3 linked regions of the Arabidopsis thaliana genome follow. The protein of the gene in region 2 purifies or fractionates together with the protein of the main gene of each other region. This does not show direct contact. Each region holds a gene or a part of one and is shown on either strand. Other genes may lie near its edges.

Region 1 (5,797 bases), on a different chromosome or scaffold from region 2:
TAATGAGTTTGCAAAGTGAAGAACTTGAGCACGATCATTCTTTAAAACACTTCAATTTTCAATTTTGATCGTTGTTTTCATGCCTTATTTTGCTTTGGATTTTGCATATTCCACAAAATTTTGTCGTTTGGTTTTGCAAGAACTATAGAGAATTGGATGCATAAGAGTGACTTAAATTGCCATGTGTATGAAACTGATCGATTGGAAGGTTAATTATTCTCTACTCCGAGGTTTATGTCAAGTGCTTATATTGGTAAAAAAAATCTTTAATTCCCCGAATATTGCGAACCGGAAATTTGTAGAGCAATTAAGTTGCAGTTCTACTAAATGAGGATGAAGTTATGTCTGTAAATCTAGGTGTCTACTTTAGCTTTGAAGTTTACAAATCTCACTGCTATAGTAATAGTCTAGAGTGTTAGCGACGACTCATGGCCTCTCTAGACTATATGTACACAACATGAAAACCCTAATCCTAAGAAAATCGTAAATCTCCACGAATGGATAAACCTTGCACATCAATGTTATATTTTCCTTAAGTTGTTGTAGAGAATATTTAGTGAATCTCTACAATAACTCGTATCTTCAAACTCTACGCAAAATTAGCTCCCACGTCGTCTTTTACATGTTACATATCATGTCTCTAGTTTCGTCACGTCAGCTTCCATACTCTTGATGTAGGACCGCGAGTTCCAACACTTGATGTGTTAGTTTTACAAATTAAACGAGGGTTTGGGTTTATAAAGATGAGTTCAGATTTAGATTTAATTTTTTTTTTTTTTAAATAATACTAATATTAATAATCAAAACCCCTTTAATGGGCCTCGGGCTGAGGCCTTACAAAAACATAGATCATGGAATCTGACGACTACACCAGAGGACGAGTTCTAATCCCGACGGTGGTCGGAAGTAGAGACGACCTACTTGTTAAAAGTAAATGTAATTGTTAAATGTTGGTTAGATGTGACAAAATATCAAGCAATATAAATGCTTGATTTGCTTAAAATGGTTATCACTTATTGAACCTTTGATCTGACAGTGAAAACATTCTTATTTTGAATCGAAGCAAATGTACATGCCTAGCTAGAGTTTAGAATCCAATTGGGGTTGTGATTTCTGCAACTTCAAAGCTCACAGAGTGAAAACACTAATTTGTGTTTTGCAATCGAAGCAAAATTCACATTTTTATGACACATCGGTATTACTGTATGAGACATGCAATTGTTGAGAGTGAGTAATACTAGTTCTTTACAATGTAAGAATGATTAATTAGTTGTGAAAATATTCTGCTACTGCTCATTGCTATTTGATCTTCTGCTACTTAATATTGTTCAACGGATCACATCTCTCGACTAACTTATATAGTCCCAAATTCCATCACAATATTAGTTGTGAAACTTTTTACCATACTCGCCACTAGTGATAAAATCGCAATGTATGACTAAATTGTGACAGAGCGTTCTTGGTAACAACAAATATTAAACCAATGGGTGACTATGTATATCCTTAGAAGCATGATAAAGCACCATTGAAAATTTGAAATATATCAAGAAGATTCAGATGGAAGTTTTTTTAACATTGTCAAAAGGAGTTCCAATCGAACAAAGTGTACATTTTGGAAGCTCTTAAAAAAAGTAGAAATGGCTTAGAGAGTGGGAGCTCTCTCGGCAGTTCCAGCGATGACGGTAAGCAAGTTGTTTCCAAAAGGATCACTGAGATGCTTTGCAAGGTTCTCAACAGGACCTTCTCCGGTAACATACGCTTGGATAAAGAAACCGAGCATCGCAAACATGGCTAATCTCCCGTTCTTGATCTCTTTGACTTTGAGAAGAGCTCCTTGCTCAGGGTCCTTAGCAAGGCCTAGAGGATCAAATGGACCTCCTGGGTGTAGCTTGTCCTCGAAATCCTACCAAATATTTGCATTTCAAGTTTAGTCATTTTCCCATGAGTAATAGCTAAATGTAGAGACTAGAGAGTAATGTACCAATCCGTTGGTGATTCTGTAGTACTCGGCTCCACCGAGGAGAACAACCTCAGCAACTACGGCGAGAACAAGGTTGATAGGGATGTTCTTGCCAAAGTAGTTCAATGTGTTTCCATCAAGAAGCAAAGCACCAGTCTGCAATCAGTATTCCAAAAAGAACCATCTCATCACATCAACACATTCTTGCTTTGCTAAAGAATCTAAGTCTGAATGTAAATAAAGATTAGACGTAGGCAAGAACCTTAAACCAGACAGCTTCAGGGCCACAGTTAGCGCCATATTTGTTTAAAGCTTCAGGAATGATGAAACCAGCTGCTCCTAACATAGCCCATCTCGCATGGATCAATTCAAAAGCTTGGTATCTACAACCACATTCATTAAAGAACCAATCTTAATGACAAATTCGATAGATATAGCTCAAAGCAAACACAAAAGGTTTAGGATAAAAGAATCTACTTACTTAGCAAAGTTCTCAGGCTTCTTTCCAAGACCAAATGGGTCATAACCATAACTGCAAATTCAGATTCAGACCAATAAACCTTAAGCACAGAATCCAAAAGTAGGCATACATACAAAGAGAGACATGAAAAAGTGTCTTACTCTCCAGCAACTTCACCGTTTAAGTACTCTGGGATCTCTGATCTATCCAAAAGACCATCAGGCAAGAAAATTCTCCTGTCAGGACCTGCATAAGAGTCACAATTACAAACACATTCACAAAGAAACAGAGCAAGAAATGATTATAAAAGGGATTTAGAAGACACATACCATACCACTTGGCGAGCTCATCGCTAGTCTCAGAGACAGCCTTGGACTTAGCAGGAGCTGGCTTTTTCTTAGAGAAGAGAGCAACAGTCTTGAACGTGGATGGGCTTGATGCCAACGGAGCAGACGATCTTGAAACTGCCCTGAAGTTAAGGGGAGTACCAAGCATTTCCGACACACCCAAAGACGCCATTCTTTTAGTCCAAAGTTTCAAGCTTTACTCTGGTTTAACACTAGGAAGAGCTAAGTGAAAGAAGGAGGAAGAGACGAAACTGCTCCTATAAGGTGGAGAGTAGGATTCGTTCAGGATTTTGATTGGTCTGGATTGAAAATGTGAAATATGATTCTGTCCTCTGATTGGTTGTGGATGCTGATGTGGCTTTTAGATTGGTTTTTGTTGGATAATTTATTTTATCCATATCCTCTGTTTCTCCTTTTGTGTGGCTAAGCTTTCACCTATACAGCAAAATGTGTTACAAGAATCTCAAACACATGAAAATCTCAACTGTTAAATGTCATCCACAAGCCTTTCACAGTCCTAGTTGGGGTTTTCAGTAAATTCCTTGGGACATTTGGAATCACTGTGGTCCTGTTTACTACCGTAATGTAGACGACAACCGGAATTTTCATATAGACGTAAAACTCCCAAGCTCAACGGTTAGATTTTCACATTGTATCAACAGTTATGAACATACTCATTACACCAAAAAGAGAAACGAATCATCCGACTAGTCCTAGACGTGAACATACTCTTTCTACAAGGAGTTTCCCACAATTCTATAACATATACATCATGTGGATCGAAACTGAAGCGATTGAGCCGCAGGATCATGTACATAGAGAATACGAAAATTTAATCATCTTGGTTCACAGTGCCGGTTCACACACAGTACTACGGTAGAATCGAAAGAGCTATAATGAATTTATGCCCTTTGGCCCTAGAGCTGAGCTCACTGTGCCACTATACGCACTATTCTACCTCCTTAAACTGAGAGAAAATCTCAAACTCAACCTCCATATTGATCCAAGTTGAGCCATAAAGAACAACTCATAGCACCAAAAATCAGCACTCAAACCATACACATTACCAGAATGATAAATCAGCCACCTAAATTATGCGAATCCATCTTTATACCATACGTAAAATTGTACAAAAAGAAAGGAGATTATCACTAGCCCCAAATCTACATTATTGATCTAAGAACAAACCAAACACTACCATTTACTTGGAAGCTGCAACAAATCCTAAAAGTTCATCATTTTAACCACTTGTCGATTTCATTTGTAGTAGCTTTCACAAGCTTCTTCGTGCTAACAACAAGTTCATCAATCAGTGAATCAACTTCATTCCTGTCAACAAATCACCAAAGTCAAAATCATCATCTTCTTCTTCAAATCCTTAATCACTAAAAATCTAATTGCAGACAAATACTCACAGAGATGGTTTTCCAACGTTGTAATAAGAACGAGAGTGATCATAAGCAGCTCCTCTTCCAACACCATAGCCAAAACCTACACCAATTCCACAACCAGCTCCAAATCCAAGACCAAATTGTAATCCAGGAACTCCTGGTCCGAATCCTACACCTGTTTTCATCAAACCAATCTCTACTCTCTTAAACCAAAACTATCTATAAATAGCTTCGAGCGATTCGCGAGTCTGCGATCAAAATTGGGAGAAATTAGAAATTTACCTCCGATAAGACCGGCGCCGAAACCAAATCCGCAACCGACACCGAGTCCAAAAGCTGGACCAACTTTTCCAATGTCTCTGATCCTAACTTGGGGAAGTTTCCAGAGCAATCCTTTGTCATCGTCTCCGGTTCTTCTTCTGTTGCTCATCGTCCCTTTCGCTCTCTCTTTCGGCGTGGATTCGCCAATACATACTTTAAATGGGCCTATATTATAAGGCGCACTCTTATTTCTCAAGGCCCAACTTCAGCCCAATAGTCATATAGATCTCATTTCACAAGCGATATTTGTTATGTTTATTTTATTTTAATCTTTTGTTTTATATCATAATGAATTTTATAGAAGATATCTGTTATGTTTATATTCATAATGAATTTGTTTTATATCATAATAATATGGATTTTCATTAACAACATTTTTTTTAATACATAAAACTAAAAAACCCACAATTATTCTCAAATTTTCACTTTGTTTTCAGTTACTTTATATATATTTGCCAAACATATTATATAATATATGAAGATTTGTTCTTACATATATTTAATGGATTGATGCCTCATTAGTTTTATTCTCAATTTCAAAACTAAAATTAATAACAAATCTTTCGTAAAACTATTAAATTTTAGATTCAACTAGATTAAACTCCATCCAATATGCATGTTTAATTTTTAAAACTAAAATAAATTTAACAAAAAGATATATTAAAATCTTATTGTAAGTAGAAAATAAATATATAATATTTTATTTTGAGAATTGTTTATTTATATATTCGTTTTTTCCTTATTCGAAAAATATTATACATGGAAATTACTAGTCAAATCATCATCTAATTTACATCTATTTACAAATCTATCGTCTACTTTACCACTAAAAATGTGTTTACTCACAATCATATTTTCTTGTTGAAGTATTCTCATTCCCACCACGTATAAAATGATTATATGAATGCATAAAGCCAACTACATGTGTTTTTATTTTCACTTTCACATAGTTTTTTAACCACTAAAATTATTGATTCATAAAATATTTTGAAAGAAAATATATCACATAGCAATAATTAATGATTTATTTATAAGAAAAACTAGAATAAGTAAAAATTACTCGATCGCAATGAGTCTATAATAAACCAATAAAGGTTGAGAAATTTGATTGGACAAAATTATAAGCACAATGATAAAAGATTAAGGCTTATAGATTCTATCGCAAGTAATAATTCTTTTCATTTTATATAAAACTATTTTGCATTTAAAAATATGTTTATCATTATTTGTTGCATATTTTGTACGAGAAAATTATTTGAAAAAATTCTATGCATGTTTTAATGTTAAAAAAAACTCTGTTGAGTGTATTCACGAGCCA
Region 2 (5,740 bases):
GTTTCCTTCCAAGGAATATGGCTTATGTCAATGGCTTGCATGCTTTGGACGCCAAGTTTAGTTCCCAAGGATTGTTTCCTTCACATTGAAGAGGGTAAACACACCATTAGATGCTCAGACGTCAAAGCTCTTCATAGAGCAATATCATTGGTTAATATCCAATTCAGCTGGTTTCTTGTGATCATAACCATCTTTGCAATGTGGTTTTACATATTTTTGCAAAGGATCTACGGTGAGAAAATTGAATACTCTCAGCTTCGAACAAAGGATTAATCCAAAAACATGGAGATCATGATCACCATGACTGAAGTTCATGATGCTGAGTCACAAAATGGAGTCGAGCCACTAGTTTGAAAATCATTCCCACTAAAAACTACCAATTTTCTTATAATGTTTTCTTATTTCCAATTCAGAGAAGCTTGATCATTTGTATATATTATAAAAACATATTGTGTAATTATTGTAAACGACCACTAAATTTTAGATGAGACGTGGCAATTACGTCTACAATTTTCTTAGGTCTAAAAAAAAGAGTCAAACTAATCTCAAAAACGATTCTCTACAAAATCAATCAATCTCAGAAGTCTTCTCTCTCTCTCTCTATCCTCAAACAAAGTATGGCCCTTTATCCTTTCTTCATCTCAATCTTCATCTTCTCTTTGACCCTCTTCACTACGACGACCCATTCCCTCAACGAACCCGACCCGGATTCGATTTCCACCGTTTACGAACTCCTCCCAAAGTACGGTCTCCCAAGCGGTCTCTTACCGGACACCGTCACCGATTTCACCCTCTCCGACGATGGCCGATTCGTCGTTCACTTGCCCAATTCCTGTGAGATTGAATTTGACTACCTCGTTCACTACGATAAGACCATATCTGGTCGTATCGGTTACGGTTCAATCACCGAGCTCAAGGGTATTCAGGTGAAGAAATTCTTTATTTGGCTCGATGTCGATGAGATCAAGGTCGATCTTCCACCTTCTGATTCAATCTACTTCAAAGTTGGCTTTATCAATAAGAAGCTTGATATTGACCAGTTTAAGACTATACATTCTTGTCACGATAATGGTGTCTCTGGCTCTTGTGGAGATTCATGGAAGAGTTTTCTCGAGGTAAAGATTAGATCTTTGCGTTTTTGGGGCCGTAAATTTGGTTGATATGATTGAAGATATTTCTGGGCTTTAAGGGTTCTTGAGGATTTATAGGAGATACTGATAGATTCTGGAATCTCTGAGTTTCTGGGTTCAAGTTGCACTGACCATTGTTGGATTTGTAGATTGTTTCTTCATTTCATTAGGCATTGATTATGGGTAAATGCGTGGGTACATATAATATATATCTGTTGAATGCAATTTACACATTGACTGAGGAACAACATGAACATGGCAGCTTTCTCAAAATTGAACCACAGAAGGCTTAAAAGCAAAGTCTTTGGAGAATCAGACTAAGCTTGAGAAAGGGTTGAAATTTATCTATCTAAGACTTGTGAAAAGAAACTGTATTTAATGCTTTCACATTGCTGGTTTTTGAGGGACATACATCATTGAAAGTTGAAACTGATAGTAGCAGAGTTTTTTCCTCTGTTTGGTTCTCTTTTGTTCTTTTAGTTCGTAGTGATAGCTTAATGCGTAGCTGAGAAAAGTGGAATGCTGTTTGTTTATAATACTAAAGTAGGTCATTCTGCATTTCTTGCAATGTCAGTTGTACAAGCCTCTAGCAAATGTTTTCCGATCTTTGATGGTTTTTGTCTGGTTCTTGAAATGGTCATTGCCTTAGATCCTTTCAAACCAGCCAACTCGCGAAAGTGATTCAGGCTGGTTTGTAGGGAATTGGTGGTACCTGCAATTAACAGAAGCTTTTGTTTTTCTCAGAAAGGGCAAGGAATGATGGATGAAGCGGAAATGTTAATCACCGAGTAAAACACTCTTGGCAGTCACAGAGTCTGCGACAACACGCAGATAGAGTTGAGTCTCTAAGTCATGTTTGTACATATACATACAATAACTAGACAAGTCTTTTCTGTAAGACTTGGTATGAAATGTCGATATATCCATTATGTACGTCTTGTTAAAACTGGTTTCCACGAAAATGTTGTATCTCATGACTAAATGTCCCCGAGTTCGTTCCTCACCACCATAGTTAGACTGTGTGGCCGTTAAGCTCCTTACTACTAGTTGTTGTATCATGTATGGCATAACGAATGGAAGATGCATTCTAAGAGCTGATAGGTTGTTTCATATATTACATTAGAAGGTGATCTGCTTGAGAACTTGATCTGTTTGACTCTTACCAGATTATACTAAGAATACATTCAAGTTCGGAATGATCTGCTTGAGAACTTGATCATTCTCGGTGACCGTAAGGGTTTTAGTGGCTGTGATGAAGGAAAGGGCTGAGCACAAGCCTTGATGTACATTGATGTCCTTGTTGATGTGATAGTGGAATGGTTTTGAACTACTGATTCGAGAGTCATGGTGGCTGAGATATGCCGAACAAGATGGCCGAGAGTCTTATAGCAAACTTATTTTCTCCATTGGTAACCAAAAAAATCCGGCCTTTGATTATGCCTTGGATTCATAAGCATTTTAGACCGATGCCCGAACTCGTGATTTTGAAGACTTTCTCGTGATTCTGCAATTCTCCCATGTTTTTTCTAACTTACAAGCTGCAAGACGACAAGAAATACACCTTATTTTAGGGAGGCGTCCACGTAAACCCGAAAGCCCACCCGGTGCTTTTCTTGTTTGTCTTTGCCTTTGCCTCTGCTTGCTAGGAAAAATAAATAAATATCACAAGTCCCTGATTTTGACTGGCTAAGATTCAACGGCCATTTTCCATCTTACAGACCCAATTCTTGTTTTCTGTTTTGCTATAACAAACCAGGGTCAGGGTTTTATCTTCCATATTCTTTTCCCACTGATTCTTACAATCGATCTAAGGGAATCTACGAACTGTTTGGTAATTTCTGGTGGGAAAAGTCTTGATCTTGCTGTTTGGTTTGGAGTAATGGTGAGTGCTTGGTTTGTTGTTGGCTCACCGGTGATGGACTCTTCGAGCAGTCCATGTTTATGTCTGGATGCTCACACGACGGGTACCATCAGGAGGAAGAAGATCCTTGGCAAAGCAAGAAATCTGGAATTAGGAAGCTCTTTCACTGGCTCACGCATTGTTTTTAGGCTTTCTCCGAAGCGTGTATCGAGAATTGCGAATCGAAAGAGCAAAAAGCTCTTGATTGTGAATGAGGATGTTGCTGGTAATTACGACGATACCTTCGGTGATGTACAAAAGGTGAGAGAACTTTTGCATGAACCCTTGTTTTCATAGACAAAGATTTGACCTTTGGCAATAACCTTATTATGGATGGCTGGCTTTCGATTTTGTAGCAAATTGTTAATTATTTTACATACAAAGCTGTGAGGACGGTTCTTCATCAGCTGTACGAAATGAATCCTCCTCAATACACTTGGTTCTATAAGTAAGTTTCTTATGCTTTATCATTTGATTAAAGTTCTGTATAGGATTAGATTTAACAAAAACACTTTACTCCGATCATTTTTGCCTTGTGGTCTTAATTATGTTTCTCCTTTGTTGTAAAACAGTCATATCATAACAAACAGACCGACGGATGGCAAACGTTTCCTCCGTGCCCTCGGCAAGGTAAACAAGTTTAGTTTATATCTCACATGAACAAGCATCATCTGTAAGATGCATTAGGTCTAGTTGAACAAGTTCAGCTGGTATACTATAACTAGCCGAGGACTGAATGTAGCAGATTGTAGCTGTGGTGAGTTGGTTAATGAGCAGTTAGTGAGGGCTGAAGTTTATAAGACTTGTCTCTGATTTGGTGTATTGCAACAGAGATAGCAGTTCCATAGATTTGTTCTTATTACAATCACACTGTGTTGTGATAAATTATGTTTGATTCAACCTTGTTTAGAGCTTGGTATTTAAACACAGACAATTGAGTTTGATTTTTTTTGTCTTAACTACTTGTAGGAGAGTCAGGAGCTTGCAGAAAGAGTGATGATCACGCGTCTTCACTTGTATGGCAAATGGATCAAGGTAAAATCGCTTGCTATATCTCGCTCCAGTTTTGGTTTATGTGTTTTTCCCTTCCTGCCATGGGAACCAGAAAAGACTCAAAAGTTAATATTGTATAGTTTGTTGTGTAGAAATGCGACCATGGGAAGATATACCAGGAAATATCGGATGAAAACTTGGCGTTGATGCGTGAACGCCTGATGGAGACCGTGATATGGCCTTCCGATGACACAAACTCAAGGTAATAGGCTGAAGAAGACAGCGCACACCACAGCACAACATTTGCTTTGTCAATTTGCTTCTCAGTTTTTAGGACTTCGAGTTTTTTAGTTTGATTACATATTACTATAGTGAAAGAGCAGTGTGTATATGATGTCTATTCTTGGCATGTACTATATGATATTAGGGGCAAAAAACAACACCCTTCTTGTGCTCCTAAACTTACTTTCTCAGTCATCTCTTACGCTCACACCACTCACATTAACATTGGTAGGCTCAAAATGATAATCACAATGCCAATCTTCTCATTTTGCAAATAAAGAAAAGAAAATAATAAAAATTGATTACTAGTTTTGAGTATTGACAACCTTTATAAGCAAGCAACAACAGGCTTGAATGCAATGACGTGGTCATGATTAAGGAAAACAGCGGTTGGTCCAAATCGTAACACTTGTCCTCGTAACAACTTCAAAACCTGGTTTGACTTATATTACAGTCCTCACTCATCACGGAACCACGCCGAAAATTCATGGCGAAGACTAGCATTTTTGCAGCTCTACCCTTTACCAACTTCGAATTCCCGTCGCTGTTCCGTGTCAAGAACTCTTCGATTATCAGTTTCAGCGAAACCCATTTTCTCCGACAATCAATTTCGACCGCAATCGTAAGATCTCCGACTAAGAGGGGAATTGTGTCCGTCTCATGTTCTTCCGTCACGGACGAAGCTTCTTCTGAAGAGCTACAAGTTCGAACCTTGTAATATCACCTTCCTGTTTCTTCTGCAATCTATGTATATAAACTTATAGCTAACGATTGGACTGGTCTTTCTTGGTTTCTGATTAAAATCCGTGGATTGACGAAATGTGGGTATTTGCAGGACATGGAAGTGGAAAGGTTATTCGATAAGATATCAATGTGCTGGAACCAGTGGCCCTGCTTTGGTCTTGGTTCATGGTTTCGGTGCTAACAGGTCTAAATCATTGCCCCTTTAGCTGATAGGGACTTGAGAACCATATGTTTAACAGTAACATTTTTGTTATGTTATCAGTGACCATTGGAGGAAGAACACACCTATTCTTGGGAAAACACATAGGGTGTACTCAATCGATCTTATCGGATATGGATACTCCGATAAACCGAATCCTCGTGAGTTTGGTGGAGAACCATTCTACACTTTTGAGACATGGGGTGAGCAACTCAATGATTTCTGTCTGGATGTGGTCAAAGATGAAGCTTTCTTTATTTGCAACTCTATAGGAGGTAGAGCTCTGAAGTTCCAACGCTTTCAGATTTAAGCTTTTTTCCCCTTTCGGTTCAGTAATGACAGAGAGATTGGTGTTCATTAGGACTTGTTGGTCTTCAGGCAGCAGTAAGTAAGCCAGAGATATGCAGAGGGCTTATGCTTATTAACATATCCCTCCGGATGCTTCATATCAAGAAACAACCATTCATTGGAAGACCTTTCATCAAATCATTC
Region 3 (6,255 bases), on a different chromosome or scaffold from region 2:
CTACTATCCAACCAACCAGTGTGAATTTTGTTATCACGGTAATCAGAAGCCTGGTTGACAATTGAAATGATCTTGTCAGGGTATTGCATACACAGAGTGTAAGTTTGTGTGCAAGAAGAAACGTACATGTAAAAGGTCGATCGTGTAGTCAACGTTAGTCCTAATTTCTCCACGGATCTGAATTTCTTTTAGCCCAAGAACCATATTCGCTATCGCCAGGGCTCTGGATTCCCCAAATGCAAAAACATGTCCTGAATGGAAGATTAAAGAAAGTTTCAATTTTTGTAAACTCAAGAAAAGAACCTAGCAGCCCAAATACATTTATTTCATTCAACTTACCAAACTGGGAATCCGAGAACTCGTGGATGCCTCCACCAGACTGTAAAAAAGTAGTCGTAAAATTTAAAACATTGTGAAACACTTATATAGCAGAGTCTCTATAGATATAATTACCTTGACAGAGAAGTACGCCCACACATTTGGCTTGCTCTTAAAACTCAACTCCTGTTGCAAGTTCATACAAGTGTTACCCACAGAGTTCTCAGTGAATGAACTTTCACTTTGCATTCCACAGATATCACATTACCTGAACTCTACCGCTGGTTGGTTTGAACCCGTCATCAGGATCCTCACTTGTCACACGTACAGCCACACAATGACCTTTTGGCCTTATAGATTGAGCTTTATCAAAATCAAAAGGGAAGGCTACAACAGATGTTTTTCGCCAAGAATCATAACCTCCACCATGTTCTATTCCATAGAACCGTCTTATCTCTACGAAATTAAAGAGAAACAGACAGTACATTATTCGTGTGCATGGATAAAGAAGAGGAACCGCTGCCTGTAAGAAATAAGGACGTAGATTATACCAGGGATTTGCCAGAGAGGAATTCCCATCCCCACAGCAACTTGGGCAGCAGGAAGATTTATCTCGGCAATCCACTCAGTGACAGGATGCTCAACCTGACCTCAAACATCAAGTTAAACAAGTCATTCAATTTTCAAGTCCGGACCTTCAATATATTTCAACGCAAAAAGCTGCAGTATGAAACCAACCTGTAAGCGAGGGTTAAGCTCTAAGAAGTAGTACTCCCCAGTGTCCATACTGTAGAGATACTCAACAGTAGCAGCTCCAACATAGTTAACACTCTTAGCCAACCTTCTAGCTGCTTGTTCAAGTTTCTTGACAGTTTCTGGCGGAGCCACAGTAATTGGACCCTCCTCTATGATCTACGATACAAACGATAAAGTAAGAGCTCATGCAATAATTTGCAATCGCTAAAAGGGACTATAACTCAGTTGGAGAACAAAAATTGATGTATATAACTATATAAGAATAAATGGACAGAATGTTTTTCTATATAACCACTAACCAGACAATTAAAAATCCAGAATCAACCACTAACAAACCTTTTGATGTCTTCTCTGGACGCTACAATCACGGCTATGCAGAGCTGAAACATTTCCATGCTTGTCACAGAGCAGCTGGACCTCTAGATGCCGACTCTATACAAAAAAAAAATTAGAAAAAATGAAATGTAAAGAAAAGCAATGCATTACTACTTTAAATTCTCTAGTAAAGTAACCAGATAAGAACTCAGCTAAGCTTCGATCAAGAGATATAGTTAAGCAGCCATACCTGTGACGCAACCTTCATTATGAATATTGGTGAGCCTGGGACCTCACCCTGAACTTGCTTGAATAGAGCCCTAACCTCATCATCATTATGAACCTATAAATTTAAAACCAGAATAAGTACTTATATAGTAATCGGCTTAGTCCACAATCAAAAGGCATATCTACAGAAGCTGACCTTCCTGATTCCTTTACCACCACCACCCCACGATGCTTTGATCATTGCTGGGTAACCGACAACTTGACAGCTAGCAATCGCTTCTTCAGTTGTGTAGACACATGCTTGCCGGTAGATCTCCTCTGGGATGGTTACCAAGTTGCTATTAGGAGGTATTTTAACCTGAAAACATAGGAATTCAGTATATAAAAATGAAAATATATACCTCTGGTACACAAGCTAAGCTTAACAAGAGTAAATTTACTTACATGGGAACCACTCCATGGCAGAGTGGGTACATCAGCAGCTTGTGCAATCAACGAAGAACCAATCTTATCTCCCAGTGCTGCCATTGAAGATGCTGGAGGACCAAGAAATATGATTCCTTTTGCATCTAGGGCATCAGGTAATTCGGGGTTTTCAGATGCATGACCCCAACCAGGCCAAACTGCATCCACGCGTGTTACTTCAGCCATCTGCACACAGGTTGTAGACAAAGATGTTCAGATGAATGAAAAATAACTCCAAAGACCAAAACTTCATTGCTGAAATTGAGCTTAATACATGTGTTCTGTACAGTAAAACACGATAATTCAGATAATAGTAGTTCCCAAAAGTTGGATTCACCTCCACAATCAGCTGAACGTTAGCATAATTGTTATTGTTGGTTCCTCCGGGAACCTCAACAAACTGATCAGCGATTCTGATATGCTCCGCATTGATCCGCATGTCTTCAGGGGTTGCCATCCCCACCAACAATATGGCTTTTTCCGTACCAAATGTTTCATAAGCCCATGTTCTGACACTACGTATAAACTTCACAGCCGCCATTCCATTGTTAGCTATCAAAATACTATGGATCGGCCTTTTCCCTCTAAGTGCTTTACAGAACTCATCCACTTGAGACACCGTCTCATAATTTATACCAGGTCCTACAGCACTATGATTCCCGTTAACCGAGCCAGCCATTGTCACTGCCCTTTAAGCTTCAGATATATCTACAAAACAGCCATAAACACATACTGAATCACTTTACAAAGAAACTGATGCTATCTACCAAAATGACTTGAAAGAACATAACAGGAATATTAAAACAATTCCTAATCTGGTTGCTTAATCTAACAAACAAAGATGCTTCAGATTACAAGGTGGAATTAACAAAGATGACAGCAATGCTTTTGCGTAATCACATGAAGAAAAAAAGAGTATAGAAAAAGCAAAACGCAATCATAAGCAAAGATCTTGCAAGTAAGAAAGCATCATTACCCAATAATAATGAGTTCCTTTAGAAATCTGAGAGATCTCAGAACTAATGATTATAAACTCCCCAAACCCACTAAAATTCTACAATATTGAAGTCGAAAACTCAACAAAACCCAACTTCAACAACAAGTTAAAATCACAAAAACAAGTGCAAAATTCTCATTGCTAAACCATAAAAATCAAAACTTTAAAACACCCAAATAACAAAAACTCAACAAAACCCAACTCCAACAACAAGTAAAAAATCACAAAAACAAGTCCAAATTCCGATTGCTAAACCATAAAAATCAAAACTTTAAAACACCCAAATAACAAAATCAGCAAAAGCAGAAAACTTTAAACCTTGTAAGGAAGCAGAGATACAAATTGGCTTAAAGAGGCATCAGAGAAGGCCAGAATTGTGGGTGTTTAGCTAAAGAATAACAGAGAGGAGGACATGGAAGAGAATGAGGGAGAGAGAAAGGGTTTTAAGAGAGGGAAGAGAGAAGAGGGTAGGTTGGAGTTAGAAGAGGAGAAGGAAAGTGGGGTCAGAAGAGTTAATAATGGGAGATGATGAAGAGAGGAAGAAGATGAAGGAGAAGAAGAGAAGAGAGAGCACGTGGTCTCTGCCTCCGCCACACTCCACACCTCCATTGTTTTTTTTCGATCCCTTTTTGTTAGGAGGCGCCGTACTTGTTCCTCAGCTACCTCATTTCATCCCCCCACTCTTGTTTTTTCCGCTATATTATTTCCCAATGCTTCTCATTGTAGTATTATACAAAGTTTTATTTCAAGTTTTATTTCCAGTTTTAGAACCAAGTTTTTTTATTTACCAAAACAAAAAAAAAATTGAATACTGTAGAAATTTTATATGGAATTTGTGATTTTTTATAGACATCAAAACAATTTTTATTTCAGAGAGAAGATCTAGAGAATATGACAAGATTTAATCGATAAAACTTCGGTTTTTCGGTCATTTTCGAAGATTTCAATAATTTTTGCCAGTTTATTTTGCAGAAAAAAATATTTTTTATGTTGGCATATATAGTTTACAGAGATATATTATGTTATCAATTGTTTTTTGAATTTAGTTGCTAAATTTAGATGGATAATCTTCTAACCCGAACAAATCTATTGCATAGTATTATTATACAAAGTTTTATTTCAAGTTTTGGAAAAAAAAAAATTTTAACCAAACCAAAAATATATGATTACAGGAAATTTTATATGGAATTTGTGATTTTTTATAGACATCAGAATAATTTTTAATTTCAGAGAAAATCTAGAGAATATGATTAGATTTAATCGATAAAACTTAGGTTTTTCGGTTATCTCCGGAGATTTCAATATTTTTTGCCAGTTTAGTTTTTGGCATATATAATTTACCAATAGTTTCTTGAATTTAATTGCCAAATTTAAGTGGATAATCTTCAAACCCAAACAAATCTTTTGCATAGTTTTTCTAGGTTATATTTAAATTAATATATACCATTCTTAATGCTTTATATAAGATACATTTAACTTGTTGGAAACTTTTTTCTCAATATATTCGCAGGCCAAATCAAGAAATATTATTCCTTTACCATCTTTAGATTTATGTTCTCTTTAGCTAACTTCAATTTATGGTTATATACTTATGTTTTGTTCTTGTGTATATTTAAGACTATTAGAAAGTATCAAGAAAATGCTGATTTGAGTTTATTTCATAATTTTCTTATTTAAAAGTTTACTACATTTAGTTTACTACATAACTATCTCTTTTACATTTGTATCCGAACAAAGCAAATGATAGCAAAACATAGATTTGTGCCGAATAAAAGAAGAATGGTATAAATTTGTTAAGCAATGAAAGATATCTATTTTAAAATAGTATTAGGTAAGCCATGAAGAAGACAATAAATTTCTACCGTCTGTGTTAAATGAACTTCAAATACGTCACAAGAGGCCATAGCAAATGGATCGCATTGTATGAGATTTATTATTTCGTTTATTTGGTCGGTCTGTTTCCGTTTTAAAGAAAATATTTATTATTGTCTTAGGAATGTGTAATATAATAGATTAAAGCCAAGAGGAATTGTATTTGTGTACGTTGAGTCGTTGACACAAGGTTGGGTGGTTTAGGTTACCAACATTTTATTTTCCTCTTGCTTGTAAATTATGTGTTTCAAATGTTTTAATGTTTTGTTTCTCATTTAGTAGAACGTATATTGGACCAAGATCTAGATTAGTGTTGCACCCAAGTTCAAGTTAGTCATGTAAAATCAATTCATAGATTTTTACCAATTCTTCATCTATCTACCTCATACGCATGAGGTGGTCATCTCACAATAATATGCATGGCCATGTTAAGCTAAGGATAATAAAAACTTTTACCACATTCTAGACTATATCGTATATGTTAGTGTCTCAGATATGCTTTTACTTTATTTATCACGACTATAATTCATAAAAGCATATTGTATTGCAAACCATTCATATTTATAAAATCATTTATATGTTTCACCAAAAATCATTAATATACAGAAATCATCATTCATCACAACTCTTTGTCGATGGTTTTATATAAGAGGTATAATTTCATATGTATTGTTTAATTAATTAGCACATATGCATCTATCTCTTTGATTAGCTGATATATGATTTTAGGCAAATCATTTTCATACAATACAAGAAAAATGGTTGATTGCAGCACTTACATAGTATCACAAAAATAAACAATATCAATTTAAAAATTATTTATTAATAAATGATACAAACTATGTAGTTTAGCATCAATTATAACAATTGATGTTGTAATCGAGTAATTTGACATCGGTTCAGTAAAAGTGATAATATAGCGATAATTTTATACATAGAAATTTCGTTTTTAATAATGAGATATTTTTCTTTTTATTAGAAGTAACAAACCATAAAATCAATCATCAGATCGTTAAAATGTTTGACCAATAAAAAAGGTTATGTTAAAATCAACCATCAATTTTATTTTGTAGTGATAGAAATACATGCATTCAAGTTTCATGTTTCCAATATTAAATTCTTAACTATTTGTAGGAATAAAAAAATTAAAATATCAACAAAATAAATAATTCCACAGTTTAGTTTACAATAAAATAATTTAAAAATCGCAAAAAAACACAGTCAAATATGGTTCTTCATTTTGTTTGATTATTTAAAATAAGAATAAAAATGGTCTCATTAACAAAGAAATAATATTAATGGCT

What was found. Proteins that work in one complex are often made in the same cells at the same time.
Region 1: the proteins of RbcX2 (region 2) and LHCB5 purify together in Arabidopsis thaliana (affinity purification with mass spectrometry, with the first as the bait; one study listed by BioGRID). This does not show direct contact.
Region 3: the proteins of RbcX2 (region 2) and ACC1 purify together in Arabidopsis thaliana (affinity purification with mass spectrometry, with the first as the bait; one study listed by BioGRID). This does not show direct contact.

What each region holds. Positions count from the first base shown.
Region 1 is NC_003075.7:6,405,342-6,411,138, reverse strand, and holds LHCB5 (light harvesting complex of photosystem II 5), read right to left. Parts: upstream 3,133-5,797; 5' UTR 2,940-3,132; coding exon 2,750-2,939; intron 2,667-2,749; coding exon 2,582-2,666; intron 2,493-2,581; coding exon 2,442-2,492; intron 2,344-2,441; coding exon 2,223-2,343; intron 2,117-2,222; coding exon 1,982-2,116; intron 1,904-1,981; coding exon 1,643-1,903; 3' UTR 1,290-1,642; downstream 1-1,289. Other genes in the region: AT4G10330 (glycine-rich protein), read right to left, coding at 4,003-4,096, 4,183-4,333, 4,441-4,588. UniProt on the Arabidopsis thaliana protein: The light-harvesting complex (LHC) functions as a light receptor, it captures and delivers excitation energy to photosystems with which it is closely associated.
Region 2 is NC_003076.8:6,710,715-6,716,454, reverse strand, and holds RbcX2 (Chaperonin-like RbcX protein), read left to right. Parts: upstream 1-2,517; 5' UTR 2,518-3,009; coding exon 3,010-3,291; intron 3,292-3,386; coding exon 3,387-3,478; intron 3,479-3,602; coding exon 3,603-3,660; coding exon of another isoform or gene 3,661-3,690; exon of another isoform or gene 3,691-3,999; coding exon 4,000-4,065; intron 4,066-4,175; coding exon 4,176-4,289; 3' UTR 4,290-4,483; downstream 4,484-5,740. Other genes in the region: AT5G19870 (transmembrane epididymal protein (DUF716)), read left to right, coding at 1-273; AT5G19860 (transmembrane protein, putative (Protein of unknown function, DUF538)), read left to right, coding at 618-1,115, 1,875-1,922; AT5G19850 (alpha/beta-Hydrolases superfamily protein), read left to right, coding at 4,793-5,019, 5,141-5,233, 5,312-5,523, 5,610-5,740. UniProt on the Arabidopsis thaliana protein: Chaperone involved in RuBisCO assembly process.
Region 3 is NC_003070.9:13,530,702-13,536,956, reverse strand, and holds the start of ACC1 (acetyl-CoA carboxylase 1), read right to left. Parts: upstream 3,790-6,255; 5' UTR 3,398-3,789; exon of another isoform or gene 3,059-3,397; intron 2,791-3,058; 5' UTR 2,762-2,790; coding exon 2,420-2,761; intron 2,269-2,419; coding exon 2,062-2,268; intron 1,976-2,061; coding exon 1,814-1,975; intron 1,733-1,813; coding exon 1,640-1,732; intron 1,507-1,639; coding exon 1,411-1,506; intron 1,231-1,410; coding exon 1,057-1,230; intron 964-1,056; coding exon 870-963; intron 775-869; coding exon 587-774; intron 505-586; coding exon 454-504; intron 380-453; coding exon 340-379; intron 252-339; coding exon 127-251; intron 51-126; coding exon 1-50. UniProt on the Arabidopsis thaliana protein: Multifunctional enzyme that catalyzes the carboxylation of acetyl-CoA, forming malonyl-CoA, which is used in the plastid for fatty acid synthesis and in the cytosol in various biosynthetic pathways including fatty acid elongation.